4 linked regions of the Struthio camelus genome follow. The protein of the gene in region 2 binds, or shares a complex with, the protein of the main gene of each other region. Links are inferred from orthologs where the notes say so. Each region holds a gene or a part of one and is shown on either strand. Other genes may lie near its edges.

Region 1 (7,390 bases), on a different chromosome or scaffold from region 2:
CACAAATCACTTACTCAAAAATCTTGCCCAGCTGGTCGGCCTCTGAGTTACCGCAGAAAAGGGGCCTGGGGGGGGGGGACAAGGGGATGTCACCAGGGTGGGGACACACCGCTGCCGTCACCCACCGATGCTGGGGGACACGGGGGCTCGGTTGAGGGCAGGGATCTCCCACGGGCCGCGTTGGCGGCAGGTGGCACCCCGTGACCAAGCCGTGGGACACGCCAGGGACCGCAGGCCCGTGTCCCCTCCCTGGTCCCCCCCCTCCATGTGCCCACCCCCCCCCCCCGCCCCAGCGCTCACTTCCGCCTGAACATCTCGGCGAAGATGCAGCCCACGCTCCACATGTCCACGGGCGTCGCGTAGGTCGACTGGAGCAGCACCTCGGGCGCCCGGTACCACAGCGTCACCACCTGCCCGCGGCATGGGGACGGTCACAGCCTGCGGGTCCCCTCCTAGCTGGGGGGGGGGGGGGGCCACCTCCCCCCTCAACGGAGAGCCACAGCCACTCAGCCCCAAAGCAGCCTGGATTCGTGGCCACTTAGGTGTGGGGACCCGTGGCTTCCTAGGTTCACGGCCACCTTGTCCCTGAAGGCCCCCTCCAGCCCTAGGGACACCTGGGACCGGTGGCTCCCCAGACTCACAGTCATGGCCACAAACGTGGCCCCTCTGCCCCATAGGGGCTTCCTAGATTTGCCATCACTCAACTCCTGGGTCACCCTGACCTGTAGCTCCCCGGGCTTGTGGCCACCTGGGACCCACAGCCAACCCAACCCACGGCCACCTGGGACCCGTGGTCACCTGAGCCCCCACGGCTTCCTGGATCCATGGCCAACCCAACGCGTGGCCACCTGGGACCCACAGCTCCCTGGATTTGTGGCCACCCAGCCCCATGGTCACCCAGCTTCACGGCCACACAGCCTTGGAGCCACCTAAGCCCCATCACTCCTCGGTTTTGTGGCTACGCAGATTCGCAGCTACGTGGCCCTACAGCCCCCCCAGGACCCAGAGCTCCCCAGATTCACGGCCCCTGGCCACACACCACAGGGGTCAGGGCCATCTGGCAGCTGTAGATGCGGGCCAGGCCAAAGTCGGCCAGCTTGACCTGCCCGTTGCTGGTCACCAGGATGTTCTCGGGCTTGAGGTCCCGATGGACGATGCAGTTCGAGTGCAGGAAGTCGAGGCCGCGGAGGAACTGCCGCATGAGGTCCTGGAAAGGGAGAGCGCCCGGTGTGAGCGACCCCCCCCATGCCCACCGTGGTCCCACGGCCATCGTGCCGGCCCCCCCCCAAACCCACCTTGATGGTATCGAGCGGCAACCCGGGCGCAGGCGCCTTGTCCAGGTAGGTCTTCAGGTCCTGGTCCACGTGCTCGAAGACCAGCGTCACCTTGGTCTCGCGCTCGGTCCGTGCCGTGGCGCAGACGTCCATCAGCCTGGCCGGGGAAGGGGGTGAGGGGGGGACACGGCGTCAGCAGGGGGGAGGTCCCCGGTCACCGCGGGGCGGGAGGGGGCACCCACAGGACTCACCGGACGATGTTGGGGTGGTCGAAGTGCTCGAGGCGCTTGAGCAGGGCCACCTCGCGCACGGTGCTCAGGGGCAGCCCGTTCTCCGTCGTCTGCACCCGCACGTTCTTCAGCGCCACGAACTTGCCGCTCTGCAGGTCCCGCGCCTTGTAGACGGTGCCGTAGGCGCCCACGCCGATCTCCGCCACCGGCTCGTACTGCGCCCGCACCTCCTTCGCCATGCTGGCGCCGCCGTCGGCCGGGGCCCCCGGCACCCTGCAGCACCCAGCACCCGCTGACCGGCACTGGCCTGCATCCTCCCCCGCCCCCGCCAGCACCCAGCGCCGCAAAGAAAGAGCAGCGTCAGCCTGGGAGCCAGCGGCACCCTGCAGCCCCGGTTCACACGTGGCCACGGCACCCAGCACCGCCCACCGCCAAAGCCCAGCGCCCCAGGGACCAGCATCCCAGAGCACCCTGCGGACCCAGCACCCCGCGGACCCAGCAGCGAGCAGCTCCCAGCACCCCCAGCTCCCAGCACCCCAGAAACAGGCATCCCACAGCTCCCAGCACCCTGTAGCACCCAGCAGCTCCCAGCAGCTCCCAGCACCCCATAGCTCCCAGCACCCTATAGCACTCCAGAGCTCCCAGCACCCCATAGCTCCCAGCAGTTCCCAGCACCCCAGCAACTGGCACTTCATAGCTCCCAGCGCCCCAGAGACCAGCATCCCAGAGCACCCTGCGGACCCCAGCACCCCACAGACCCGAACACCCCCAGCTCCCAGCACCCAGTGGCTCCCAGCACCCTATAGCTCCCAGCACCCTGCAGCACCCTGTAGCACCCCATTGCTCCCAGCACCCTGCAGCTCCCGGCACCCTGCAGCACCCCACAAGCCCCCAGCACCCACAGCACCCCATGGAGCCCCCCACCCCACCCCGGCGACCCTACCACAACACGCCCCCTCTCGCCAGCGCCACGCGTGCAGCGGGGACCCGCGGGGGAGGCTCTGCCCCTCGTGCAAGAGGCCGGTGCACGGAGAAAGGCGCGTGCAAAGGCGGGGGGGGAGGGGGGGAAGGGGCCGCCCGCGTGCAAGGCGCTCGTGCAAGGCGGGAGCCGCCGGCGTGCAGCGAGCGGGGCCGGGGCAAGGCGCGGGTGCCACGCGTGCACGGGGCCGGAGGCGGAGGGGGGAAGGTCCCACGCGTGCAGGGGGCCGGTGCGAGGGGGAGGCACCGGGGGGGGGAGGGGAACCCGGCGCGCGCAGGGGGCTCGTGCAAAGGGGGCCGCGTCGCGTGCAAGGGGCCCATGCAAGGGGCCGCGCGCGTGCAAGGGGCCCGTGCAAGGCGCTCGTGCAAGGGGCCGCGCCCGTGCAAAGGGATCCGCGCAAGGGGCCGCGCGGGCGCGCACGGGGGCCCCGCGACTCACCCGAGCGGCAGCGCGCGGGTCTCGGCGGCGGGGCCCGGGCCGGGGGCGGGGCTGGAGGACCGGAACCAGCGAGACGAGCCGGCCGGAAGGGCCACGGTTGGGGGGGGAGGGAGGAGAGAGAGGGACGCCTGTGTCCCCCCCCCACTCCCCAACCGGGCTTTATTTGCAGGGAGGGGCGAGGGGAGGGGCGAGGGGAGGGATGCTGGGTGCCGCTGGGAGAAGGGTTCCTTCCTCCCTCCCCGGCTGCCCGGGCTGGTGGGACCCCCCCCCCCAAAACCCCGGACGCCTGGGCTCCCCGCCCAGAGGCTGGGGGGGGGGGGGGCGATGGAGGGGAAGAGGGCGGACTCGAACCCGCGGCCCCGAGCGCTGCTCGACCCCCCCCCCCAACCGGCGCCGCGGCGCGACAGCGCCCCCTGGCGGAGAGCGGCGGCAGCGCGCCCGGCCCCGCGCGCCTTGGTGGGGGGGGGGCGCCCCCTCCCCTGCACCACAACCCCTAGGACCCCCCACCCCCACCCCGGGGAGGGGACCCCTGAGACCCCTCCCTCCCGGTCTGGCTCCCCCCCTCCCGAAGCTCCACCCCCGGGGCACCGGGACCCCCCCACCCCCGCGGGGATCGCGACCCCCAGGTGTCCGTCTCCGCCCCCCCCCCCAACGCGGAGCCGTCACCGCGGCCCGGGCTCTGTCCGTGGTGCTGAAACGGCCCCGGCGGCCGGCGGGGCCCACGGGGGACCGGCCCCACGTGGGGGAGACCAGGACTGGGGGGGGGGGAGACCGGGTTCACGGCGGGGCACCGGGATCACGGGGGGGGCACCGGCCCCATGTGGGGGCACCAGGACTGGGGGGAGACCGGGTTCACGGGGGGACACGGGAACCGGGGGGGAGACCGAGCTCAGAGTGGGGCACTGGGACCGGGGGGGGGAACCAGCCCCACAGGGGGACATGAAGACCGGGGTGGTGGGGGGGGGGGAACACCGGGCTCACGGTGGGGGCACAGGGGACACTGAGAGCACGGGAGAGGGGGACCTGGACCACGGGGGGTGGGGGGCACCAGGACCACGGAGGACACCAGGCCTGGGTGGGTCCCCCTGCTCCCCAGCAGGGATCCAGGCCCCCCCCCACCCCAGGTGCTGGGTACCGGGGGGGGGGGGCTGAACCCCACAGCTGGGCACAGCTGGGTGCACATGCGCAGAGGCAGCACCGTCCCTCATGCAGGGGCACACGCGTGTGCGTACGGCTCCCGTGCAGGGACACACGCGTGTGCGTACGGCCCCCCCAGCCACGGCCCCGTGCCCAGCGGATGAAGGCGCTGGGGCCCCCCCCACGGGGCAAAGGGCTCCGGGCCGGGGCCCTCACCGTGCCCTCACCGCCACGCACGGCTGGGTCGGCGTCAAGAGGCGCCGGGGGGGGCACCCCACGGGGGTCCAGAGTCCCCCGAGCGTTGACGTCAAACGCTGCGTCCCCACGGGGGACGTCAACTCGCTCGGAAGAGGCGCAGCCGGGCGTCGCGAACAACGCGGTGGTGGGGGGTGGGTGCAACACCGGAGCGGGCGGCAAGCCATGCCCTCGCCCTCTCCGGGGTGGGGGGGGGCCGCCCTTCGCCCACCACCGTCTGGGCCGCGCGGGTGCCGCCCGGCGGGCGCGGGAACGAGTCACGTCCTGGCACCCCGGCGGGACGGCGGGCATGCCGGGGCAGGAGGGCGCGCGGTGCGCCCGCCCCGCCGGAGCGGGCGGCGGACGGCAGCCCCGGGGTGCGCAACGGGCCCTTGAATCACGCCGGAAAGCCGGGGCGGGCGACGGGCTGGGGAAGGGTGGTGGCGGGTGGGGGGATGTGAAGGCAACGGCCCTCCCCCCCCCCCCAACTTCCCCAATGCAGGCACCGAGTCGCTCGCCATCCCCTATAACCCCTTTTATTACATAAATAAACCTTTAAATAGCCCGGCGGCGCTCGGAGCGTCCCCGCCGGAGGGTGGGAGACACGGACGGCCCCGACCGGCCGGGCTCCGCCGTGCGTTTAGGCGGGTGCCGCAGACGGGAAGGGTCTCCTTAAGAGCAATAAATAGGGGCCCGGTGGGCTTAAATAAGGGGGATTTTGCAGCCAGCCAGACCAGCAGCCGGGGCGGCAGGCGCCGCGGGGTGCCGCCGCGCCGGCCCGCGCTCGGGGCGAGGGGCACCCGCGGCCCCGCTCAGCGGCTCAGGAAGCGCAGGTTGATGTCCGTCTCCGGTACGAGCAGCGTCCGCGTCATGGGCCGCACGGGGCGCCCGCCGGGTTCGGGTTTCACCTCGAAACGCTGCAGGATCTGCAAAAGAGGCGGGGAAGGCGGGTGAGGAGGGTGGCGGGTGGCGGCGGGGGGGGGGTGGCGGCGGGTGCCGGGTCCCGCTCTCACCTGCGCCAAGGCCAGGTGGATCTCCAGCTCGGCGACGCGGCGGCCGACGCAGCTGCGTTTGCCGACGCCGAAGGGCAGCGAGGCGAAGGGGTGGTGGCCGGGTTGGCGGCTCAGCCAACGCTCGGGCCGGAAGGCGTCGGGCGCCGGGAAGAGGCGGGCGTCGCGGGACGTGGCGTAGTGGCACAGCGTGATGAGGGTCTGCGGGCAGAGTCGAGAGGGGGCTGAGCCGCGGTCGGAGCGGGTGCTGAGCCGTCCCCGCCGGCTGGCCGCCCCGGCTCACCTTGCGGGGGATCAGGTAGTCGCCCAGGAGGATGTCGCGGTCGGAGATGACGCGGGCGTTGCCGGGGATGACCGGGTAGAGCCTGCGGCGGGAGGGGAGACGCCGGGGGTTGGTGAAGGTCGGGGGCGCACCGGTGGGCGCGAACCCCGGCGCCGGCCGCCGCGCTCACCTGAGCGTCTCCTTCACCACGGCCTTGAGCAGGGGCATGCGGGCGAGCTGGGCGGCCGAGGGGCCGCGGCCGTCGCCCAGCGCCGCCGAGACCTCCCGGTGCAGGGCCGCCTGCACGTCGGGGTGCCGCGACAGCTCGTACAGGCTCCACGACAGCGTGCTGGAGATCTGCGGGCGGCAAGGAGCGGCGCTGAGCCCGGGGCGGCCCGACGGGACGCTACGGGCACGTAGGGAGGGACGGCGGCGCCCGGCATCTCACCGTGTCCACGCCGGCCAGCAGCAGCTCGGTGACGTTGCCGTAGATGACCTTCACGGGCACCTTCTCCCGGGCCAGGTGGTAGGTGAGGCAGGTGCCGTCGAGCCGCTCGGCCGCCTCGGCCACGCGCCGGTCCACGTGGTCCTTGGCTGGTGGGGGAGCAGGAGGTGCCGTGAGCGGCGCGGCCGGGTGGCGGGGCCACCGGCGTGCCCCCCGCCCGGCCACCCCGGCCCTCACCGAAGGCGAACATGTAGTCCCAGGCGTCGCAGAAGGTGCGCCAGGGCTTGGGGAAGAGGCGGTGCAGGAAGCGCGGCATGGCCATGGTGAGCAGCGTGGTCCCGAACATGGTGTTGACGGCGCGGATGAAGGTCTCCGTGTCCTGCGGCACCTCCGGCTCCAGGCAGCCCAGGCGGGACCCGAAGAGGACGGAGGAGATGCCTGCGGCAGCCGGTGGGTGGAAGCAGTTAGATGGGGGCCGCGGGGACATGGGAGCCTCGGGGGACACGGGATCACCTGGGGGAAACGGGAGCCCAAGGGGTAGACAGGAGCCTCTGGGGGACATGGGTTCACCTGGTGACATGGGTGGCCCTGGGGGACACAGGTGGCCCGGGGGGGGACAGATCAGCCCCTGGGGACATGGGAGCCTTGGGGGACACGGGATCACCTGGGGGACACGGGAGCCCAAGGGGTAGACAGGAGTCTCTGGGGGACATGGGTGGCCCTGGGAGACACAGATGGCCCTGCGGGGGGGACAGATCAGCTCCTGGGGACATGGGAGCCGCAGGTAGCTGGGGGGGGGAAGGACACACGGCCCCAGGCAGAGCTGGCCGGGTGCCGGCGGTGACGTCCCCCATCCCCGACCCACCTTCCAAGCCAAACTTGTAAAACTCGGTGGCCACGTCGGGGACGAGCTGCTGGGGGTGACGGTCGCGCTGGCGCTGCAGGCGCCGCAGCAGGTCGGCCACGACGGCCTCGAGGGCGCCCGCGTAGGCCTCGGCCGCCCGCGGCCGCAGCAGGTGCCGGCCCAGCAGGCTGCGCATGCGCTGCCACTCCTCGCCCTCCCTGCCGGGGCACATGGCACACGCGTGACACACGGCACGCACATGACACACGGCACACGCGTGCAAATCGCCTGCAGACGGGTCGGCATGCAGCCCGTGCACGCATGCAAAGGTGCATGCATGCAAAACGCCTGGAAACGTGTTTGCATGCAACCCATGCACACGTGTGCAAAGCTGCACGTGTGCAGCACGCCCGCAAACGCGTTTGCATGCACAAACGCGTGCACACACGTGCAAAGCTGCCGGGCTGCGCGCGTGCCGGACGCCTGCAACCGTGCGTGCACGCCCAAAGCCGCGCGCAAAGGCGCGGGCGCACGGAG
Region 2 (7,594 bases):
CCAAAAGCAAGGGGCAGAGCCCTAAAGCCATCCCATAGGCTTCAAGTCCTTCCCCTTTGCTTAGCTTATAGAGAGCAGGGTTTTAATGCAAATGCAAATGAGACAAGGGCTTGCTTTCTTCAAGGGCAAGGGAGAGGTGGGGGAAACCCAAATTGTCTCTTCAGTGTATCATGCATAATTTTTAAAATGGAGAGAGTTCTGCAGTGGGAGCCAAATGATGAATGGGGCTAGGCCACACACAGACACACATGGATAAAAATACAAGGAGACTTAGTTGGTATTATTTTACTGGGGGCGCCAGGGAGGGGGGGCAGAGAAGTACCAGTGTGCCACTATTAATTACCAGTTATTATTACTACCGATGTGTACCTGGAATATCTGCTGTTTAAAACAGCGCGCTCCTGACCTGAAGTCCCAGAGTCTTTGTAGTTAATCCCATGGGAGAAGCTTTTTCCCATTTCCTCATTCCTGTTTTTCCCAGCCTGCGTGTTTTTGCTGCACATGAGAATTTTAAAGAAATTAGGGTCCCCCCCCCACCACCACCACCACCAAGATGGTGTTTTTTCTTCCTCTCTTTATGTCTTTCCTTTCACTTTTAAGTATTTACCCTCCAAAAGCGGCTCAGCGGTGGCAGGGGACATGGTGATAGCTAATTCCAAGGGCGGAAAGCAGCAGTTAACCCTCGGCAGGCCAAAACTCAGCACCCCACCCCCACTGCACACAGCCACCCAGAAAAAATATCTCAGCAGAGCTGCAAAATGGTGGCCGGAGTTTCCTCCTGCACAGCTAGCACCTACACGGGGGAGGTGCCAGCAGCCACCAGAGCTGCCAGGGCCTCACTGCACGCGCTGTGCCGCGAGGACGGTCTGTCCACGCGTGACGCGCAACCGCTCGGCCCCACCGTAAATAACTCCTGCTCCCCCAGCTCAACTGAACCGCTTGTATGTGAAAATGTTTTGGTGTTTTGCTCTGTTTCTAATAAAAAGTCTCCATTCAACTCCCCGCTTTCTAACAGGCTGACGGGAGCTTGGGGCCTGCTGGAAAATAGCAGAGGTGAAGGCAACCCACGGCTCCAAGGGCGAAACAGCTTGTCTTGGACCGAAGTGGATGGGACAGGGAGAAGTGAGAACGCCATAAACTAGGGTTCAGCTCCTCTTCTGCTCACCTGAGTGCTCAAATTAACTCCAACCTCAGTGTTTACCACCACGTTAGCGCAGCATTAACAGCACTAGTACCTACCCCTTAACAGCATTTAGGGAAGCATCGCCAGCAGGTTTCAAAGCACTGGAGGGGGCTCGCGGCCGTAACCGACACGCTACAAAGCCATACAGCATCTCTCCTGTATGACCTATGGGGAAAGCAGTGCCAAAGATCACAGGGCATGTTGTTGCACAGTTGCGTGCTTACGTAACCCCTTTGCATGAAATATCTGTCCATCTTTCCAGTTTGCTTGACCACTTGTCCCTATTTTGTCTTCCTCTGTTAGGAGGATATGGCAGAGGCCCCAGGATCTCAGTTCCCCTTGCGCACTGCAGTCTGTGGGGTGAATCTGGATGGTTTCTCAGCAAGGAAGCAGTCCCCTAAGCGTGTCCCCGTGCTTGTCTATCATGCTGCACACGCAGGGAGCTCACTTCTGTTTTCATGACTTAGGCTGGCTGGGGAAGTTTTGATTTTTACTAAAAAAACACACAATGACCCCGCACTGCCAGATCCGGTTGAATTCAGCCAGCCAACGATGGGCAACTCGGGCATCACATTTAATTAACTTCCGTGCCCGCCAGCACCTTCCTAGGGGGCAGTTGGTGTGCGGCCTGCCTGGCATTTTACAGGCCAAGCGCTTTGTGGAGCGAGGCACGGCCCGAACCCCTTCCCTCCCCCAGGAGCCAGTGTCATGTCTGCACTTTTGTCTCCAAACATTTGTTTCTGGTCACTTTGCTCAAAGCCCTTCAGCCCAGGCCCAGGATCACCCGCCTCCGGCGCCCTCGCCCTGCCGCCGCCTCTGCGGCTTGGGTGGGTTTTTCCACCTCCCCCCCCCATTTTTTCTCCTTTCTCCACGAGGCCGGCAACGTGGGGGCTTCCGTTCGTGAAACGCCGCGGAGGGGCTGGGGGTGGCCGGGCGAGAGGTGCCGGTGGCGGCGGCGCTGGCCCCGATCCCGGGGGAGCCCCCGGCGCTGCGCGGGCGGCGCGGCCGCAGGAAGCGCCCATTAGCATGAGCCAATGGGGGAGGAGATCTGTTACCAGGCGGATCAGGCAGATCTCGGCGAGCGGCGCGGCCGATCCCTCCCGGCCACACAAAGGGGACTGGTCAAAAGTGCAAGGGCGCCGCAACACGCGCGCCCCGCCGAGGTCCTCCCCCCGGCCCCCCGCCCGCCTTTGCGGAGCCGGCCCGGGCACCGGCACCGCCGCCCCGGGGCTCCGGCCAGGCCCCGTAACGGCCGGCGCCTTCCCCTCCCTCCGGCTCAGCCGCTTCCCCTCACACGCGGCCTCGAATCTGCTCCGCTTGGCGGCTCCCCGGAAACGGCCCCGTAACGGTTCTAACGGCCGCGGGGCGGGGGGGGGGGGGCAGAGAGGGGGAGGAGGCGCGGCCCTCGGCCTCGCGGCGAGGCGTGCTTAACGGGCGGGCCGCGGCGGCCCGAGGCTCCGCTGCGCCCCGCCGCCGGCCCCGCTTCCGACGGCGCTTCCTGCCCGCCTCCCCCGGCACTTTCTCATGATGTCACCCCGCCCGCCGCGGGGCGGGGGCGGCCGAGCCCCGCCGCCGCCCGCCGTTGGGGCCGTGCCGCCGCCGCCGCCGCCCGCCGCCGGCGCGAGCCCGCCCCGCCCCGCCGGGGCGGCGCGGGCGGGGCCGGCGCGCCGCCGCCGCCGCCACCGCCGCCGCCGCCTACCGTAAGCTCCCGAAGAGGCGCGCCGCCGGCCGCGCGCCTCAAACCGGCCCGAGCGAGCGCCGGGGCGGCGCGGCCGGGCCCGCCCGGGCCGGGGGGGGAGCAGCGGTGCCTGCTGCGGCGGGAGGCACTGAAGTGCCGCGGCCCCGCCGCCCCTGCGCCGTGTGTCTGCGGGGGCGCCAGGGGCCGCGCGCACGGGTGGGCGCCGGAGGCCGGCAGCGAGCTGCGGTCCCGGCGCTGACAGAGGCCCGTTGGGCAGATCGTTGCCCCGAGGCCGGGGGCGGCGGGGGAGGAAGGGTCGGGGCTGGGCCCGGGGCCGGGCTGGGCAGCCGGTGCTGGGAGTTAGGCCGAGTTTAGCCTGACCACGGAGGTAAGCGGAGAAAAGGGACGAAGGTGAAATTAATGAGGGGAAGGAAGAGGAGCGGGAAGAGGGCTGTTCTTTTCTCGTTATGGTTTTGCCATGCCAAAAATGGAAGGACCGGCCGGAAGGACGGGCAAGAAAGGGAGCCTGGGTGACGGCGTCGAAGTGAATAAGACAAACGTATTTACACACTAAAATTCTCAGAGCAAAGACGCTGTAGTGGAAATCCTTTTCTTCCATCACCATTGAGTTAAAGAAGAGCCGCTACAGTTCTTGCTTCTCTTTTGCAGTGAACTTTTTACCGAAAGTCCTCAGCTGACAGTGCACTTTGACAACCTAACAGCATGGAAGCGACCAGCGCACGTGTCGGTGTCCGAGGCGGGTTGGTGAGCTGTGAAAACACGGGTTAGCCAGGCAGAGCGTGGAAACCCAGTTTACAAATCAGGAGAAAAACATTTTCTCTCTTCCCCAAATTGACAGCTCCTCTTTGTAATATTGCAAGGCAGTTTAAAGGCGTATTATAAATCCCATCAGAATTTTGTTGTGGAACTGGGTAGCGATAGTAATTTTTGAAGCACGGTATTAGTATTTTTCACCCCTCTTTTCACTGGTACTGTAAAACAAGAAGTAGAGGAGGGTATTTTGGCATGATTATAGGTTCAGTGCTGCTCCCACGGAGGTGAATAGCAGTTTGGTCGCTGTAACAGTGTAGACTGCTAACGTAATGATGTGTTGGGAGGGGAACAAATATTCTTCTGGTGTGACAGCTAGGCTGCATTACTCGTTAGTGGCGAGGCCCTAATCAAATTTTGCAGGCTACCTTATATAATTCCTGATAAGTGCCAATAAATCAGCATGGAGTATGTATCACATACACCGCAGAAAAGTTATTTTAGGAATGTCTTAAGTACCTTCTTCTTACGTTTGTCTCCCTCTGCCAGAAATGCCACATTGATGCATTAGTAATTGTGAGCCAGAGTATCAGATAGGATAAATTGGTAGAATAGCTCCATCAAGACAGATTTGCCTCCTGTTTAAATGTGTTAAATGTGTTGGCTCCAGAGAAAATTAGCTGCAGAGATCAACAGATGTCTATATGCGCTTTTCTATGTAGAATGAAGACATGATGATAAAAGATTCTCCTTGGGCTCTCTGGTGTAAAAACACATGAGACGTGCAATGTTTTTTCTCACCAACTCTACCAGCCATTCTCCAGTTCTTCCAGAGCTGAGAACTTAGCCCAACCAGCCACATGCCATATTTCTTTGCTTCAGTCTGCTGCCCTATCTGCTCTTTCCAGACCTGCCTGGAAATGGTAAATCTGCTTGTGGCATCTTTGCAACACGCTCTTTGAGTAAAACCAGTGCAAATAATCTCTTCAGGGCCAGATTTCGTGGACCGCTGAACACTTCCTAACTCCAGCTGAAGTCAGTGGCAGTGCTAAGGGTCAGTTCTGGAGATCAGGCCTGCAGCTTCCTGTAATCTTCTCACCTTCTTTAATTCCTTCACAGCCTGCGGCAGGTTACCAGTCCTCTGGTGAGGTTCTGGTTCCTTGTGCTTTTAACCTTGGCAGGGAAGGAGAGATATCCTTTCAAAATCCAAGTCCTACATCTGACATCTGACTTGTAGTAATTTTTGAAGCACGGTATTAGTATTTTTCACCCCTCTTTTCACTGGCACTGTAAAACAAGAAGTAGAGGAGGGTCCTACAAGTCCTACAAGTCCAACAAGTCCTACATCCTACATGTCCTAAATCTGACATCCATTTAATATTTTCCATATTCTCTTTTCTTTCCTGTTGACTTCGGGAAAAGCGTAGTCCCATTTTTGGGACGCTCACCTGTCTAGTTTCAGAGCCTCTTGAATACTTGTGTTAAAAGTGGTTGAATGCCTGCAGTCAGAAGAAGAACTTATCTCTCACTACATAACATCTCTTGCCATGTAGTGTTCTCTACCAGAGGCTGCCATAAAGTGAGGATGAGAAAAGAAAGAAAGCTACTTCACTTAGAAGTGGCGGACTGGATAACATGAATGACTGAGGACTTGACTTAAGGTATTTCACTGAGAGAGATGCAGTTCCATAACACTAAGAATGCTGGAAAGTCTCTTTAGCTTCTGGTATCCTGTATCTGGTATCCTAACTTTCCAAACCCTTTCTAAGGAGACAGCCACAATGCACCCCGCAAGAGTGACATCCTTGCTGTTTGCTGCAGTGAGACCCTGGAAGCTCAGGATGGTTATAGTCACCTGCAGGATGTTTGTATCCCTTGGATCCCTCAGCCTCAAACATCCTACTCGTCGTCGTAAAGTGGATTGGCACTTCTCTGAAGGACAAGTTTGCATTCTTTGAACCTGTAGTAAAAATCATTTGGCTCAGAATCAAGTCTAAAACACTAGATTATAATTTTGACCTGAAGCATAGATGACAAAATGATAAATTTGCAAAACTCAGGCATTTTTCAGAGCACATGAATTCAATGGGAGTATTACCATCAACATCAAAGGGAGCAGGATTGAACCTGTAATGTATAGCACTAATGACTACAATCAAATAAACTTATATTGCCTGGGATTCCTACTACCTTTTGCCTTTTGTGTGTGCACTTTTATGCGTGTGCCAAATGAGTGCAGAGTGGCTCTAGAATGCTACCATTTTGAATCTGTGGCAGTTAGAGTAAATGGGCAAAAATATAAATAATAATAGAGGGTGACGAGCCTTGGGGAATCTAGTCTACTTGCTTCCCTAACTCGGTAAAGGAAGTGAAGAACCGAATACCTTGAAAGATGAGATTATAGTCTTGGTGTAGACTTCAGAAATATTTACATTTAATTTGATCTGCTTGTGCTAACTGTTATTTTTTTTACTTGCTTGTGGTGCAACTCAATTTGATTAAAAATTAGTATGGAATAGCATATATCTTTGGAAATGCATAAACCTTTAGTTATATCTTTGTGTAGCATTCATATTTATAATTTATTTTTGCTGTGTTTGGACTACTGCACCATATTAGCAGGTAATTGCTTTGTTCCCTATGGTTAGTTCTTACCTTACTGATTCTCCATGGTGCTACAGCTAGTGACAGAAGGGAATGTAAGGTATGATAATAGCCTCCTATTTAACTCCATTGAATTTCTTTTGTTGGCTAATTTTCATTTGTGTTTACATCATTACTAAATTGCTCAGTTTTACAACCTTAAACTGTGGATATTTGTTCATGGGGGGAAAAAAGAGGAATCATCTTTCTGCACGTGTATTACATTTCAGTGGGATTAAAGTAAAAGCTCGAAATAAAATATGAATGTCAATTTTCATTAACAGCTGCATCAGAGATGTTTTGTTTCCAAAGTATGAAATGTTGTACGGCCTTAACATTAACTTAGCCTAGGAAGAACGTAAGCGTTTGTACAAGTGTCGCAGCATTGGTGTCCCCTTTAAAAGAACAATCAAAATCAAAAATAGGATGTCTCTCCATTCTAAATTCCCTTTATAATTGTTTGATTCCCAGCTCATGACTTAAGTGGCTTTGTGTAAGTCAGTGCTTCATCTGTCACCACCTGCTGTCATTCAGAAAACTGTCAGGTTCAGTCAGCTTGTCTAAAACATCCATCTACTTGACCACGGCAGGGAGGTCTTTTTCATAAAGCTAAAAAAATTCAGAGGATACTGACATGGGATTCCTTAGTCCTCACTGCATCAGGCTAGGAAGTATGGCTAGATTCAGTGAAGTTACATGAGACTATCTGGCAGTGATTCTCAACTGGAAAACAGTATAGTACCCGAATCTGACCTGAGGGAAAACTGAGATAAACCCTTAATATTTATGTCCAACCCAAAATACACACAGAATCTCTGCCAGGCTCAAGCTTGTGTCCAGTGCATGTGTATCATGGTATGAGTGCTAATTGCAACATGTCTTGAAAAGGGCAGGAAGTTTCCTAGGGAATATTCTGATGGGAAGGGGAGGATCTGGAAAAGGGGAAGGGCACATATTTACTTGAAACACGTGATAAAGCCATGCCCCCACCTTATCTCTCCTCTCTAAAATCTATGTAGAGTTTGAGCGTATTTTGACCAAAACCAAAGTATTTCTTCAAATCCCAGATTCAGCTTCGCATTCAGGCTGGGGCTGGAGCTGCTTACAGAAGCTGAACCCCAACAAAAAGTTAGTGTAAAAACAAGAGAACTTGCTCAAGAAGTACACAGAGTATTTTTTCCTGTTTCTGGAGCAATCCAGGGATGTAACGTAATGATTTTCACTGGAGACAAGGCTAGATTGCAAATGATTTAGAAGCTAATTCAGGAACAGACTTAAACTGATGCTTAAATTTAAATATGTAAGTACACTGGAATTAC
Region 3 (7,343 bases), on a different chromosome or scaffold from region 2:
GATCTCCATCCCATGGAGATCGACGATATGTATTTTCATTTTTACTACAAGTTTACACTTTCCTCGCTTCACAGACCCCCGAGGCATCCGATGAACAAGGAAACGCAAATTCCGAACTCTGCAACGGGAAGGAGACGGGAGGAGAAGACATTAGAAACGTCGAAAAGAAACGTGATGCTTTTCCTCGGCGGCCGCCGGGCAGGCGCAACTGGTTCAGGCCGCCAGGGCTCCGCGGGGCGGGGAGCGCAGCACAGCACAGCGCAGCCCGGGCCGCACAGGAGGCCCCGGGGGCGCCCCGCGGCCGCCTCCCCCCCGCCACGGGCCGTGCGCCCCGTCTGGGCTGCGGCCGCGCCGGCGCCCGCCGCTGCCGGCCCGCGCTCCCCCGGCGGGGCGGCCGCTTTGCAGGCCCTGGGCGAGCGGGCCCGAAGCGCCGCGCTTGCGTTTCCTCATCTTTCGGGACACAAACGCATTTTGTGCCGCTGGAGTAAAAATAAATAATGCGAGAACCCTCCTCTCGGCCAGGTTTAACCCCTTTTCCGCCGGCCTGCCGCCGAGCAGCTTCCCCCACCCAAACAAACGGGCGGTAGTAGCAGCATTTGCATAGACACGCATGCTGACGTGCTCTGCCACCGCTCACCCCAGCAGGACTAATTTGTTGCAACTTCTGCTTTACAGCTTAATCTCTCCAGCACAATCGCAAATCGCGTTTGTAAACCTTTCTTCTAACCTCCACTCTGAAACCGCCGGCAGAATTTACCAACTCCCTCCGCCCCAGCCCTCACGTTAAAACAAAACAACAACAACAAAAAAGACCCAGCTCCCATTAACCCACTCCCTTCCCCGTAAACGCACCCTTCTGCCAGCGTCTGAACCCAAACCAAAACAACCGGAAACAAAAAAAAAAAAAAGGTTGTCTAGCTCGCATTTAAAGAAAATGCCCCCGTTCCCGTTCCATCCAACTTATTTACTCAGCCCTCCCGAGGTGGAAGTCGGCTGCTCCGTGCGAAGACAATGCTGACATTGTAAACTACGTGCAAAGGCATCAAGGCGGGAGGGGGAAGCTCCCCCCCAACCCCCTTTGTCACCTGACATGATAAAACCGTCGCGTTTGAAACTCCCGTCCCCCCGCCCCGGCGCAGGCCCGGCAGCCTTTGGGAGAGGAGCCTCCCTTATCCGAGGGAGCGAAATGCGAAGAGGCGGCGGCGGCGGCACCGGGCGGCGGCACCGGGCGGCGCAGCCCCGCGGCCCCCCGCGCCTCGGGCCGCCGCTCCGCCCGCGGGGCTGCGCGCTCGTTTTGTTCCTTTCAAAGAAACGTCCCACCCCCACACACCCAGGCAAAAAGCGTTAGGGGAAAAAGTACGCGGTCTGTAAAGTTTCGGAGGAGAAACGCCTCATCAGCCAGCCTGGAGTGGCCTGAAGCCTCCCTATAGTGGCAGGATATATACCGCCCTCGGTTTCCCTTTCTTTGCCTAACTGGCATCCTAACGCCAGGTCCTAGTGGGAACCTACCTAAACAGTTTACGTTTGATGTCTTCTTGGGCTTGATTTCTTGGGTGTTTGCTCCACTGAACTTGCACTGGGGGAGTCTTCTGAAACCTCTTCTTCTGTTGTGTTGGCTCTTTTATTTTGAGGAGAGGAATCTAGGAGGGGAAAATTAAAAACAAGGGTGGTGGGGGGGAACAGTGATATTAAAATATTTTCCTGCCAAATTTTGCTCGGCATCCGGAGGGGTAGATGGGGCCGGGGAGGGAACATTGCCGGCTCCCCATGTCTACTATCGATTAAGTGAAGGAGAGCAGGGGGAGGAGAGAAGGGCTCCTCCCTAGGTAAAAGAGACAAGCTTCCTGTTTTTATCTAAAATCCCTGTCCGTCCTTTGCTTCACACGGGCGTTATGAAACCCCTGGTGCTGCTCCTCTGCTCGGAGGGAGCCGGGTTCCCGCAGAGGGTGTTACTAGTGTATAAGGGCTTTTGCTTGCAAATCACCCACCGGCTCCCATTGCACGTCGGACGCTCCTGGGACTTAAAAACAGCACCTGGGCTTTTTAAGGCGAAAGGAGGCTGGGGGTTGTGGGGCACCTAAAACGGTGCCCGGCGGGGCAGAGCCCCCCCGGAGCAAGGACGCGTATGGTGCGGGCGAAGGGGTCGAGAGCCCCGGCGCTGACACCATCGGGGCCCGCACGGCTTTCGCAAGGGTACGTTACCGTCAGTGGCAGGTCTTTTCCTCTGCCCAGTGCACTGCTCTGCAAAGTCCGTCTGATTTTCAGAAACATCAGTCTTTTGATCTACACAGTGAGTGTCCTCTGAGATTCCCTGAGAACCAACAAAAATCACGGTCTGGCAATTCCCGTTTACATCCAAGCTCTGGTGGCCGGCGGACTTGCAGACGGCTTTGAGTAGCCTCGGGGGCCTGAAGTAGAAGTCGGGCGAGCTCCCCTTCTCCACGGCTTGCCACTCGTACCTGCCTTCCAGGGGCTTGTGATTCTGGAAATCGAAATTCCACTTCCTCTGGCATGCCTCCTCCATCTCCTTGCAGTGCTTCTTCAAGTCCCTGTTTAACTCTTCGTGGTTCACCGGCCCGAAGAGGTTCCTGCAAGCTGAAGGCTTCGGGTACTCCGACTGCCTGGCCTCCATGCGCTCCAGGGTAGGGCTCCCATTAGAAATGCGTACGTTTGACATCTCCCCCCACAACCCTCTTTTCTTCTGGCGGCGGTTGTTTTTCTCGCTGCTCTCCCCCCACCCCTCCTCCTCCTCCTCCTCCTCCTCCTCTCTGCCTTTTATTTCTCCGCGGTGAAAGCTTTTCTTCCGCTCCTCCTCGCCGCGCTGCCCCGCTCTCCGGCACCTCCTCGGGACCGCGGAGAAGAGGCGACGGCAAACAATCGCATAAGCGCCGGGCCGGGGCGAGGGGAGAGCCCCGACGGCCGCCGCCGCCGCCGCCGAGCCCGGGCGGGTCAGGCGCTGCGCGGGCGAGCGCGCAGGCTGCGAGCGGCGCTGCCCTCCGCGGCCCGGCCGGCGGCTCCGCGCTGCCCGCCGATGCCCCGCCGCGCCCGCGCGCCTCGCCGCTCTCCCCGCGGCCGCGTAGTAAGGGCGAGACGGAAAAAAACAAGCGGAGACGAGCCCTTTTCTCAGTTGCCCAATATGGCGATTGAAGGGAGGCTGACGAAGAAGAAAATGATTGACAGGACGAGTCTATTTAAACAGCGGAGCCGAGCCATTGGTTACGGCGGCGGGCGCCGCCCCGTCGGCGCGGCCCTACCTCGCCGCCGCCGCCGGCTCTAAAGGTGGCCCCGGCGGGGCTGCCGCCCCCCGCGCCCGGCCGCAGGGAGGGGGCAGAGGGGACGGAGCGGGCAGGACCGCGAGGGAGGCGAGCGCTGTGCCAAGGCGCCGCTCGCCCCGAGCCCGCTGGGGCCGCACAGCCGCCGCCCCCCTCTGCAAGGGCCGGGCTGGGCTGAGCCTGTGCTCCCCTCCGCCTCCCCCCCCCCCCAAAAAAAAATAATCCCGTCGCTTGGCTGAAAGGGCTGAAGTGAGAAATGGTGGCGGCTAGTTACATTTTGACCCGTTCTTGCGACAGAAATGGCCCATCGCTGCTTTTCCCGGGACTGGGCTCCTGCGCTGCAGCACCCCAGGTCGGGAGTTCAGGCAGGCCCGGGGCTAGCAGGGGGCTCGTTCCCCCGGGGCGTGCCGAGAGGACGGGCACCTCTCCCTGTCAGCACCCTGACCCGCCAGCACCCTGACCCAGCCCGCTGCAGAGTCAGGCTGGTGGCTCTGAGGGGAAGGCGCGAGGGCGGGAAAGATAACCTCTTGCTGTCCTCCCGACAGAGAGAGGACTAGGTGAAAAAACGGCTCTAAAAACCTCTGCTGGGATTTCAGAACTCGGCAAGCCGGGAAAAGAAAACAAAAGCATTAGTTTTCGTCCTGTTTGTGTGCTCTGAAGATTAGATGAGCCAAGAATCACAGCCAGGGATTTTCTAAGCTACTTCCTCAGCTAGCTGCAGCAGGTATGGTGGAGATAAGAGGCACATAGTGTCCTCTGCTCTACCCTGCTTATCTCCCGCCCCTTCCTCAGCCATCTCCCATCACCAGGCAGAGCGGCCCCATGGACAGCAGCAGGGCATGTCGCAGGACACTGCAGGTACTCTGGAGCCAGCACACCCCCAGGATGCTGCCGCCTACTGCTAAAGGCCTTGACCTCTCCGGGGACCCGGGTCCAGTTTGGGAGCATGGAGGCTCTTCACACCAATCCGTCTGCCCATTTCTTCTCTGCAGGCAGGCCAACCTTCTCCAAAGCTGGGACTGCAGCTGTGACAAACTATTTCAACGAGGTGGAAGTCAGTACAACTAGGTGTAACTGGCTGAGAGAACAGGGTCAACTGATTTGGCCTTGAAGACATTGAGGTTTTTACCCTGTGCTGAACACATACACATAGTGCTTTGGGGTCTACAGTCCTGAAGGGCCACTGAAACTTTGACTGCAATTGCTCTTGTGAAGTGACGAGCTAAACTCTGCAAACACTGGGAGAGGGAACATAACAGTTATACAGAACTCAAGCCCTGGGCAAAGCAGTCTGCTGGCCTGCAGCAACCCGGAGGTAGCAGCCCCCTGGCCTTTGCTCAGCCCACTCTCTCCAGGGTAATCTCAGTATTGCCACCTCCAAGTTCAAAAAATGATGTGTGCAGCTAAAACAAGAAGAATACAAAATGAGATTGTTTTAAAACCCACAAGGTTGAAATAAAATATTAGCCATGTTATTTCTATCTGTTTGCTCGGTTTTTTTAGCACTCAGAAGTTGTTTTCCAACTTCTCTCAGCAACCACAAGTTCTAGCAATTCACTTGCAGAAAATTAAAGCTGACATTCTCATGTCTGCAGGAGCTTAAGAGTTTTCTTGAGTTTCAACTCTCTGATAAAACTCCCTGAGCTGGCAAAGTGGGGCCTATTCGTCTGCTTTATTTAAAGGATTTTTTCTTCCTTTCTCCAGGCTTTTCCTGTCTTTGACTTTCATAGTTACCAGCACGGAAGTGTGATTTCAAACTTTTCTTCACTTTCTCTGCCAGGTGTAGGACACTTGCTTTGCTATGATTAAACAAAAGAGCCAAACACTAAGAAAGCAATATGCAAAATATGTCCTGGGGCTCCCCTGAAGATGCCCAGGGCTCATAGTGCTGATGGGGCCTTCATGCGGCAAAGCCTGCTGATAATCTGCTGAAGGTCTGACCAGTAACTTCTTAGCTGAGAAATTCCCAGTCCCTGCTCCCTGGCTGCTTGGGAGCCAGTGTACGATTCCTGAGTCCATGAGGGCTCCAGAAGTCCACAAACAGTAACTCAGAGAGGCAAGCCCCTTGGTAGGATGAACGACACCGCACCTGGGTACAAACCTCCACCAAAACAAAAATAATGGGGGGCGAGCATTGGGAAAAAGATTGCGTGTGCCACAGGTGAGCAAACAGGAAGGTGACTACAGCAGAAAGGAGCACTGATTTATCTATAGCTTTTGAAAAAGCAGAGCTTTAGAGCAAGTACCTTCTTTTTGGTTCTGCTTGTACCGCCCCTAGCACCAGGACCTAAGACTGAGCCCCCAGATGCTAGAGTAGTAAATGTACCTGGATAATTAAAACCAGTAACTAAAAAAACGGGGGGGGGGAAAATCAATGGAGCCACTGATGGCAGTGAAAGCAAAACGAAGTAGGAGTGGTCTGCATCTGGCTTATGCCATCACTTCTTCTTTTAAATCTCCGCGCGCGGCCACGGCGGAGGGGGGCCCCGAGGCCGGTGGCCGCGGAGGAGGCAGGTGGGCCGGGGGGGCCCGCGGCGCCTCCCCGGGCAGTAGAAGGGGGGTCCGGGGCGGGCCGGGGGGGCCGCACCTGAGCCTGCAGCGGCCCCTCTGCAGCTATCGCGGCCCCCGCAAAACGCTGCTCCCCGGCCCGGGGCTGCGGCACACTCGGGTCGCGCTGGGATAAATGAGCGTAGTGACAGGGGGAGAGGGAAGGGGGGGGTAAAAAAGACGCAAAAATAGCAGGGCGGACACGAGGTTGCGCGGCCCCGGCGCGGCACTTGGCTCCCCCCGCGGGCAAGGGCTCGGCCGCGGCGGGTCCACCTTAAATCGCGGCGGCTGCGAGGAGAAAGGCTGTGTCTGCAGCGACCTTGCCATGATCTAAAGTGTTTTGTTTACAGTCAGGCACCCCCGATGGCTGCAGCAAATAGCGAGAGAGGCAGGCGCCTGCTGTAGTAGCAGCGAAGCGTGAAAAAATACTATAGAGCCCCGCAGTAAAGATCGCGAAATATCAGAGCGCCATCGTCTTGCAAAAGCCGGGCACAGCAGCCCGGCCCGAGCAGGGGCCGTGCGCTGCCTTGCGCGGCCGCGCAGCCGCCTAGAACTGACGAGGAGCCGAGCCCCGGGGAGAGCCAGGCTCTTCCCTCGAGGTTGCTAGCTCTCTCTCTTTCGCTCTTGCCATTTAAGCTGAAGAAGGAGAGGCAAAGATCGGGAATGGAGGATTAGAGAAAGGGAGACACGAAAAAAAAAAAAAACTTGGAGGAGAGGACTAGGAAGGAACGAGGACTGTTTATACGGAGGTCTGTGCGAGGAATGTCCTGGCTAATGGTCTCTGAACACCCTGTCCCCTCTTTTCCCAGTACCCTGCTCCACTCTCCTATTTGGGCTTTAGCACTGGCAGAGCTTCTCCATGTTGTTTTCCTCCCAAACTGCTTCGGCAAGCTTCCCAGCCTCATTTTGGCCACCCTCCTTCCCCAACACTTAATGAGGTTGTCTAACTAAACAGCAAAGCACATTAAACTATACACATAAAGGATGTGAGTTTGGGTTGTTTGGGATTTTTTATGTTCCCTTACAAATTGTAGGTAAATTGGGAATAATACCTGAGCTGCTCCACAGGATGCTTCTTCTAGAGCTGAGGGTGAAGGTGGCATGGCATGAAATGAGCCTGTAAAAGCTGAAGGCTTGAGGAAGCTTCTGACCCACCTCTGTTTTTATTGGGTTGATTGTTTCCTCACACCTCCAATATTTCAGGAAAAATGCTAGCTTCCTCAAGGAATTTGGGATGAGGCCATCATGAGATGCAAGGCACAGACCCCAAGATCTCACCACAGGTCACTAGGGATATTCTTAACATGCCTAAAAGTAACCCTTCCCTTGTTGGCAGAATTAGGACCCTATTAGGTTTAGCAGTAGCGTGTCACAGAGGAAACAGGCCTATGCTATTTTCTTCTACCAAGTCTCTCAGATATAATTCACCAGTGACCAGCACTAGAAAAATGCACGAGGGGAGCTACAAGAAGCCCAAACCCTCTTTCCTCAGCTTGCTGTAGGGACAGAGCATGGTTTCCCAAT
Region 4 (7,059 bases), about 7.2 Mb from region 2:
CCTCACTGAATGATTCCTTGAGAGCATTAGAAGCGGAGCTGTGATGGCATAAAGATTAAGACGACCCTCTCCATGCTCAGGCCCAGAGCCTCATCAGCCTTCAACAAACAGTTCACAAAAATTGGAGACAACAGATAGTTACTAGGCAACAATTATAATCAAGGTTCTTAACAACAAACGTTAAATCCCAACAAGTAGAGAATTACATCTCCTCATGTTTTAAGCAACACAATTAACAGGTCTTTCATTAAGAGACTACTATACAGACATTTTAATAACCTTGCATTAGAATATTCCTAATATTTAGTCTCTTCCATTACACTTATCTCGTTATTCTTTTTTGAAAACTAAACGATTCTTCTTTCCTTACCTCATTACTATTTTGATTCTATAACTTTCCTTGTTAGGTTAGTGCATAACCGCTAACACAAGAGTAAACAAGTTAACTATTAACACATACTACCTCCTTTTACCAGGTCTCCAATAATGCAACTTTAGTAGAAGGGATGGGAGGGGAGGAAGAAAAGTAGCTTAATAACATTCCTATTAACAGTATTAATTAGCATTAACTGTATTAAGAACATCAGTAATAACTGTGCAAGAACCTTGAATTCAGTTAGCTTGTCAACCATTGCATTAAAGATACTACAGTTATTTTCCAGAAGTTTCATAAAAATTGTAACACAGCAAAGGAGCAAATATTTAAATCTCTAATTTATGATAAAGGAATACCAGCAGACAGTATTACAGCTTGCATTCTTTACAACTAGTTGTTACATCTGCGTAAAAGTTAGAAATGCTGTGCGAAAAATGGAAAAGTAGGAAACATCCAAACAAGAATCCAGAGGGTCAGTTATGACACAGAGAAGGGAAAAGAAAGAAAAGCTGTCAGCACAGTAAACACTCTGGGTAAAATGCCAATCCCTCCCTGATAGGCAAATCTGAAAAGACGAGTCCAGATATCTGGATCCAAGCACATTATTCATCGCAAGTACTGGGGAGTGGGGGAGAGAGGCTAATAGACTGTTACACTCATTAACATCTACACTGCTACAAATGAACAGATGAGTACAAGACAAATACATGTATACTCATTTGTTACCTTCTGAACACAAAAGTACCAACTTAAAAAAAAAAAAAACAAAAAACTTATCCACAGCAACACTAATTGTGGACTGTAGTACTACTAAGCAAGCTATACTGAGGAGTTTCAAATGCTAGAAATTGCATTACAGTAATGATTCAGAATGTGAATAAAGATTTTAACTTTAGCAGAGAATTTCAGGTACTGTTTCTGAACCTCACTCATAAGGCATTTGAATCTGCTCAGATTTAAGACCATCCCACATTCTGAAAACTAGCCCAGCAACAAAACTGAACAGTACTGTAATGGATTGGCAGTAAATGCACGTTACCAGGAGGTCATTTTTGGGTCCCATTCTAACATTCCTATTAGCAATTTGAAAGAGGATGGGAGTGGCAAAGCCTAAGAAGCCAGAGGACATTTGCAAAGGACACCAAATTTGGTCGAGCAGTAAAGGACAAATACAGAAAAAGAGAGCCATGAGTGAACATTTCACATGGAGGAGAAACAGAGCAGCATGAAGCACTTTTCCTGAACCTACATATGCAGCTAATGCACTCCCTATATTCACAGGGCTGATCTTCCTGAGGACAAAATTCCACCTAGATAAAGGCTATTCTTGGTACTTGAATCTGTCTCTTACAGCAGAAAGATACTGCCAAAGAACACGTGGGAAAAAATTGTGAGTGATCATCTAAAACATCTCTCTACTCACTCTTGAAGTTGAAATGCTTTTCAGTGCAGAAATTAGGTTAAGCGCTTTCCAAAGACAACAGAAAACACATTACTGGCAAGATTAAAAATAACCTGGAAAAACTCAAAGAAAATGACAGAAACGTAGGTGTTGCCTGAAGGACTATTGTAAGAGAAAACAAAACAAAACGCTAGTGAACTAACTAGGCACATTCCCCCACAAGAAGAGATGTAATCAAGTATCACAGTGCTGGAGGCATATATAGGAATGGATTTTATGCAAAATATTACTTACAGAAGTAAGTACTCTGCAATATGCACCTTGAAAAACAAAAGGAGGGACACAGAGAACAGCACCTATTTCACCTTGTAAGAGGATAAGACAGGAAAACCAAAAAAGTGTTATATCCATTTCAATACCGCACTCTCTGAAAGCGTAACCTATCGTTATCCAGACTGCAGAAATGGTAAAACATTGATCCCTTTTAACAAAAATAAAGATGGGGGCAGTACAAGAGAAGAAGGCGATGGAAAGAAAAAAAAAATGGAGTGCCCGAGCTCGGAGCTGAAGTCAAGTTTTAAGAAGTGCTCAACTTGCGGCAGTTTCATACGGGACAGGCGCGCGTGAGGCAACGCGCAGGCTCCCCAGGCCCAACGGCCGCTTTCCTGGGGCGCCTCCCCGCCCGTCGCCCCGCTCCCGCCGCGCCCCAGCCCCCCGCGGACCGGCAGACGCCGCGGGAAGGCCGCGCCCGGGGCTGCCCCGGCCGGAGCCCCAGCCCCGGGAAGGCGTCGCGCTCCGCGGGGTCCCGGCACGGCCCAGCGGCGGCGCCGGCTCCCGCCCTCCCTCACAAAGGCCCGGCCCCAGCCCCGGCCCCGGCCCCGGCCCCACTCCGCCCGCCGCCGCCGCCGCCGCCCCGCGCCCGCAGGTGCCCGCAACCTTCCGGCGCGCCCGCGGCGGCGGCGCCGCCCGAACCCGCCCGCGGCCCCCGGCCGGCCGGCCGGCCGGCCCGCCCGTCCCCCGCCGGCGCGGCCCTGCCCCGCAGCCGGGCCGAGCGCGTAGGCCCGGAGCCTACCTGGTGCGGGGGTGCGGGGCGGAGCGGGAGCGGGGCCGAGGCCGGGGCCGGGCGGAGCGGGGCCAGGGCCGGAGGAGCGGCCCCAAGAGTCGGTCGTCGCCGCCGCCGCCGCTCCGAGCTCCGGCCAGGCGAGCCAGCCGAACGCCGAGCCAGGCCCTAAGAGCAGAGCCCAGAGCGGCGCCAAGGCCCGAGCAGCCGAAGCTAGAACTGTGCCAGTCCCCGCGAGCCGAGCGACGAGCTCCTTCGCCTCCGCTTTCCACGGGGCCGCCCGGGGGCGGCAGAGAGCAGGCGCGATGAATCGAGCCCGGAAGGGCGAGCAGGGGTGGGGGCGCTCCCGGGAAGGTGGGGCATCACCCCCCCTCCCCCCCCCAAGTCACTGCAGCGGCTGCTTTGCCTTGAACAAAAAATACATCCCTTACTTCTAGTCTGACTGGGTTTGCATTGAGGGGCTGCTTGGGGTTTCTCTGCTCAGACTTCCGGATGTCACGTTTTGGCTGTTACAGAACTCTTTAGGAGCGGGAGTCTTCTCACGCAGAGACAGGAACCACTTAATCTTTTCTTGAACATGCTGCTTAAATCTCTCCCTGCAAGACATTGTCCAGGTCTCACATCTTTTATCCTGAAGGTAGATATGGCAGGGGGGAGGGAATGTAATTGAAAAGGCAAGAAAAGATAGATGGTATCAGAACAAAACACATTTAGAAGGAAAAAGATACTATCAGATAGAAGTTAATTGAAAAAGATTATTTTCCTTAAATAGAATGTTAATATTCATTATTATATATTAATCTCCAACATCGTGGATGAGGACACAAAACGTGTACGTAACCCCTTGGAAAGAGGGTCAGCATGTAATGAGAAGCCCTAGGCAGGAACTAATATTAGGAGTTGCTGTAAAGGTTGTGCTGCCTCATCTGTATCAGAGACATGAGTCTCTGGAGAGATTTGAATGTCAGGAGGAAAAGTCTAAGCAAATGAGGGCACTCTGTGTCTATATATCAGCAAGGAAAAAGTCAAGAAGCCCACCTGACTGAAGCGTACAGCTTGAGGTTTACTGCAATAGGCAGCGTAAGAGGGAGCAAAGGCAGCTAACAGCTTCACTAGGCAGTCTTTGAGGAGGTTTTAACGGGAAAACTGGAAAAGGCTGATGATGTGATTTTTTGGAGTAACTTAGTCAAGCAGTGAAAACTCCAGTACCTTGGATAGACTGTCACTGTCTTCTTCCAACAGAAGGCTGAGATCTACCAGACAGTATTAGCATGTGATGGTCAGAGCAGGCTTTACATTTCAGAGCTCTGACAACACACAAACTTTATGCACTCTGGAATGCAGCTGATGAGTTCTGTGAGGGGGGAAGCATAGAGGAGCTGCAAAGCAGAGAAGAAATACGATTCTCAGCTGTCAGGTTTAAATATGATCTAAGCCCAAGGGAAACAGAAGAGTCCAGATGGATTGTTTTGAAGGAAGCTGCTTAGGAGTACATAACACAAACTCTTCTCTAGATGAAGAGATTCCATTTCCCAAATCAACTGAAAGGCACTGAGGTCTGACTCAACGAAGAGCAGGCTGGTTTTGTCAGTACACCCTGATGCAGTATTTGCCCAAACTGATAAGGAGTGAGATTAGTTTTGAAATTACAGTCTACCAAAGGCGACTGTGGCTGCAGGAAAACAAACCCCAGAGGTGAATGTGTTCCAGGGAGTGCCGCTGCTTTCGTCTCAGTGCATGCTGTCAAGAGCTATTAACAGTATAAACTGAGAAACTTCAACTCATTATTACATGACAGCTGAGCATACCTACATGCGTCCAAGTCTCACTTGACCTTCGCTTCACCCACTCAGCTCATACTGGTGTCTGGGTCTGATGATAAGCATTTTTAGCACAGTCAGATATGATTATGGGACACCAGACATACATGGCAGCAACTCTTACCTTTCATTCTGGCATTATGGTTATTTTACAAATGATTTTCTATAATGCTTGCACATTTCCTCCTAGGTAAAAGGAGTGGGGTTTTCTCCACAGTAAGAAATAGTAGTTCTTAAGTGATATATCATGAGAGAAGGTATAAAGAAAATAGAAGAACATCTCAGATTGCTGTACATGTTATTTTACAGTTCTAATCAAGGCCTCAAGAAACAAGTTGCTTATACCTCATCAAGCCTGCTCATTGTGTATAAAATACTAAATGCTTACTGCTATTGCAAACTGACAGAACTATGTCTAATCGCAAATCTTCACCCCTTAAGAATGAGAAAGGATAGGACATATTCCTAAAACCTGTGAGGCATGAACCAGGCTCATTTTCTCTACAAAGAGCAGAAGACCTGCTGGGCTAAATTGCCATGCTACTTTGAGTGTTAGTTTTTGTGCAGCATTCTGAATTCCCTACCACTTGGATGTTACATTTACTGCCCAGTAAACAATAATATCTCTAAGAAACAAAACTGTCTCAGACTGCTGTCAAGAGATATCCTTGGAAACGCACGTATCCTTTGGAAAGGGACTATTGCCAGGATAAGGATACTTCAAAGTTTTGTGCCAACAAGAACTGCGTGCATTAGAGTCTTTTTTCCACTGAACAGGGACATTGCCAGCAATGGTGGAAGGGCCTTCCCGTATATCAGAGCTGAGGCACGTAGAGAACATGTGCAATTGGTTCAATTTTTTTTAATCCAGTCAGTCCTTCACATTTCTTTTAGAGCAACCAACAAGATGAATAGTTAACAACTGTTTTTGTTGTGGTAGCCATATCTAGTGAGAACTAGACTCAAATTCACTAGCCCATTTCCTGGTATCTGTTAAGTAACAGACACAGCCAACTGTAGCTTAACATCTTCTCCAGTTTGGGAAAGAAGAAACATCCAGCCCTTCTTGTCTTTAAGATATGTGCATACACTAAGGTGTACCCACCAAAAAAGCCTAACTCCTCCCAGAATACAACCATCAGCATTCACAGGAATCATTGCGTTTTGGGAGGTGTGCAAAACCATTAATGGAATTTAGTAAAGATCTTGTATCTGCAGGCCAAATGAGGAGTGCTTTTTGTACTTTGCTGCTCATGAATCCAGAGTACCCTGGAGCCCAGAAGGAAGTTTAATTTGTTGAAATGTTGTTCAAAAACCTGATTAAGTGTTTCAGCTTACAAACCAGCATAGAACTGCGCTTTGTAAAATCGTTTGAACCTTATAGATTTTTCATAATTATCAAAGACCATTTTCCAAGTCTCTCCTCTAATCTCACACTACTGAGACTATTCTCTAAAATAAGTGAAAGGGGAGTCTATGTGCATCACAACAGTAAAAATTCAGCAACTAAATAGGACATTTAGAAGGAGATCAAGAGAAGTTCAGAACACCCCCCGAAACGAAGTCAGTAAAGTTTTCCCTGTCGCACATCTGATCAGTCTTTATGAACTTACAGAAGAGGGGCATATTTGCTCCTGTATTCTTCCCAGACCAGCCTTTAGAAGCTGTCACAAAATTAGCTAAAATGAGTAAGCAAAAGCTCCTGGCGTATACGACAAGCTTCTGAGTCCATTGATTCCATTTGCTCATATTCTTCTTCTGGTTGTTCCATGTGTCCTGTGGCTGGGGAAGACCACACATCCAGCCCATGCTCCAGGGAGATGTTATGAAGCACGCAGCAGGCCAGAATGATATGGCTGGATTTCTCCGGCGAATATTGCAGGGTGCCTTTGGACCCATCCAAGCAGCGGAAACGCGATCGAATGGTTCTGAACGTCCGCTCGATGACATTGTGAGTGGCAGAATGCGCCATGTTATAACGGTATTCTGCAGGTGTCTCAGGGATATGCAGAGGGGTCATCAGCCACGTTCGGAGGAAGAAGGAGCTGTCGCCTGTTAGTGTTCAAAAACAGGAGAGATTACATACCTACGGTTAACAATAGGTTTCAGCTCTTCATTCTCAGTTTTCCGGTACTGTAGATCTAGAATAACTTTTTTTCCGGCTAAAAACAGAACACATGAGAAAATATGAAAGATCAACAATAACTCAGGTTTACAAGTGTGATAGAAGACAAAAAATAAAGACACTCTATTTGACATGAAAAAATCCTAAAGAACACTGAAGAGGAGGGTTGTTAAAAGAGAGATTCATTTACTATGCAATACAGTGAAATTATGACAACTGGACTAGAATCATACGTAAAATTAAAAAGTACATAATTCAGAAAGGGGTAGGATGCTG

What was found.
Region 1: the proteins of CCND1 (region 2) and CDK4 are in contact, whole or in part, in a crystal structure (PDB 2W96), measured with the Homo sapiens proteins. The link is inferred for Struthio camelus from reciprocal best matches to the Homo sapiens genes CCND1 and CDK4. Residues at the interface, in NP_444284.1 of Homo sapiens: Leu6, Cys7, Cys8, Glu9, Val10, Thr12, Ile13, Ala30, Lys33, Ala34, Thr37, Phe108, Lys112, Met113, Glu115, Pro118, Leu119, Thr120, Ala121, Leu138, Gln139, Glu141, Leu142, Val145, Asn146, Lys149, Trp150, Asn151, Leu152, Ala153; in NP_000066.1 of Homo sapiens: Gly45, Gly48, Leu49, Ile51, Thr53, Val54, Arg55, Val57, Ala58, Leu59, Arg61, Arg62, Ala65, Phe66, Asp76, Val77, Cys78, Ala79, Arg82, Ile87, Val89, Asp129, His132, Ala133, Asn134, Cys135, Ser285, Phe287, Arg288.
Region 3: the proteins of CCND1 (region 2) and CDKN1B are in contact, whole or in part, in a crystal structure (PDB 6P8F), measured with the Homo sapiens proteins. The link is inferred for Struthio camelus from reciprocal best matches to the Homo sapiens genes CCND1 and CDKN1B. Residues at the interface, in NP_444284.1 of Homo sapiens: Met56, Ile59, Val60, Trp63, Glu66, Val67, Glu70, Glu92, Lys95, Lys96, Ser97, Arg98, Leu99, Gln100, Leu101, Ile126, Tyr127, Thr128, Asp129, Ser131, Arg133, Glu136, Gln139, Met140, Leu142, Leu143, Asn146, Lys147; in NP_004055.1 of Homo sapiens: Lys25, Pro26, Ser27, Ala28, Cys29, Arg30, Asn31, Leu32, Phe33, Pro35, Val36, His38, Glu39, Glu40, Leu41, Thr42, Asp44, Leu45, His48, Cys49, Met52.
Region 4: the proteins of CCND1 (region 2) and AMBRA1 are in contact, whole or in part, in a cryo-EM structure (PDB 9IVD), measured with the Homo sapiens proteins. The link is inferred for Struthio camelus from reciprocal best matches to the Homo sapiens genes CCND1 and AMBRA1. Residues at the interface, in NP_444284.1 of Homo sapiens: Thr286, Pro287, Thr288, Asp289, Val290, Arg291, Val293, Asp294, Ile295; in NP_001354397.1 of Homo sapiens: Arg54, Ser55, Phe57, Val73, His75, Arg96, Thr97, Trp99, Leu116, Ala139, Arg184, Ile945, Asn1012, Asn1029.

The regions. Positions count from the first base shown.
Region 1 is NC_090969.1:2,238,108-2,245,497, reverse strand, and holds the start of CDK4 (cyclin-dependent kinase 4), read right to left. Parts: upstream 3,002-7,390; 5' UTR 2,922-3,001; intron 1,778-2,921; 5' UTR 1,744-1,777; coding exon 1,526-1,743; intron 1,432-1,525; coding exon 1,296-1,431; intron 1,208-1,295; coding exon 1,040-1,207; intron 411-1,039; coding exon 301-410; intron 66-300; coding exon 15-65; intron 1-14. Other genes in the region: CYP27B1 (25-hydroxyvitamin D-1 alpha hydroxylase, mitochondrial), read right to left, coding at 5,105-5,218, 5,306-5,503, 5,586-5,667, 5,755-5,921, 6,013-6,158, 6,247-6,447, 6,875-7,071.
Region 2 is NC_090946.1:32,623,217-32,630,810, reverse strand, and holds the start of CCND1 (G1/S-specific cyclin-D1), read right to left. Parts: upstream 3,003-7,594; 5' UTR 2,883-3,002; exon of another isoform or gene 2,825-2,882; intron 2,656-2,824; exon of another isoform or gene 2,478-2,655; intron 2,261-2,477; exon of another isoform or gene 1,349-2,260; 5' UTR 1,253-1,348; coding exon 1,240-1,252; exon of another isoform or gene 370-1,239; intron 1-369. UniProt on the Homo sapiens protein: Regulatory component of the cyclin D1-CDK4 (DC) complex that phosphorylates and inhibits members of the retinoblastoma (RB) protein family including RB1 and regulates the cell-cycle during G(1)/S transition.
Region 3 is NC_090942.1:81,531,338-81,538,680, reverse strand, and holds the start of CDKN1B (cyclin-dependent kinase inhibitor 1B), read right to left. Parts: upstream 3,002-7,343; 5' UTR 2,678-3,001; coding exon 2,203-2,677; intron 1,641-2,202; coding exon 1,519-1,640; 3' UTR 1,510-1,518; intron 119-1,509; 3' UTR 1-118. UniProt on the Homo sapiens protein: Important regulator of cell cycle progression. Inhibits the kinase activity of CDK2 bound to cyclin A, but has little inhibitory activity on CDK2 bound to SPDYA. Involved in G1 arrest. Potent inhibitor of cyclin E- and cyclin A-CDK2 complexes.
Region 4 is NC_090946.1:39,797,725-39,804,783, reverse strand, and holds the start of AMBRA1 (activating molecule in BECN1-regulated autophagy protein 1), read right to left. Parts: upstream 3,008-7,059; 5' UTR 2,851-3,007; intron 2,169-2,850; exon of another isoform or gene 2,073-2,168; intron 1-2,072. Other genes in the region: putative nuclease HARBI1, read right to left, coding at 6,334-6,710. UniProt on the Homo sapiens protein: Substrate-recognition component of a DCX (DDB1-CUL4-X-box) E3 ubiquitin-protein ligase complex involved in cell cycle control and autophagy.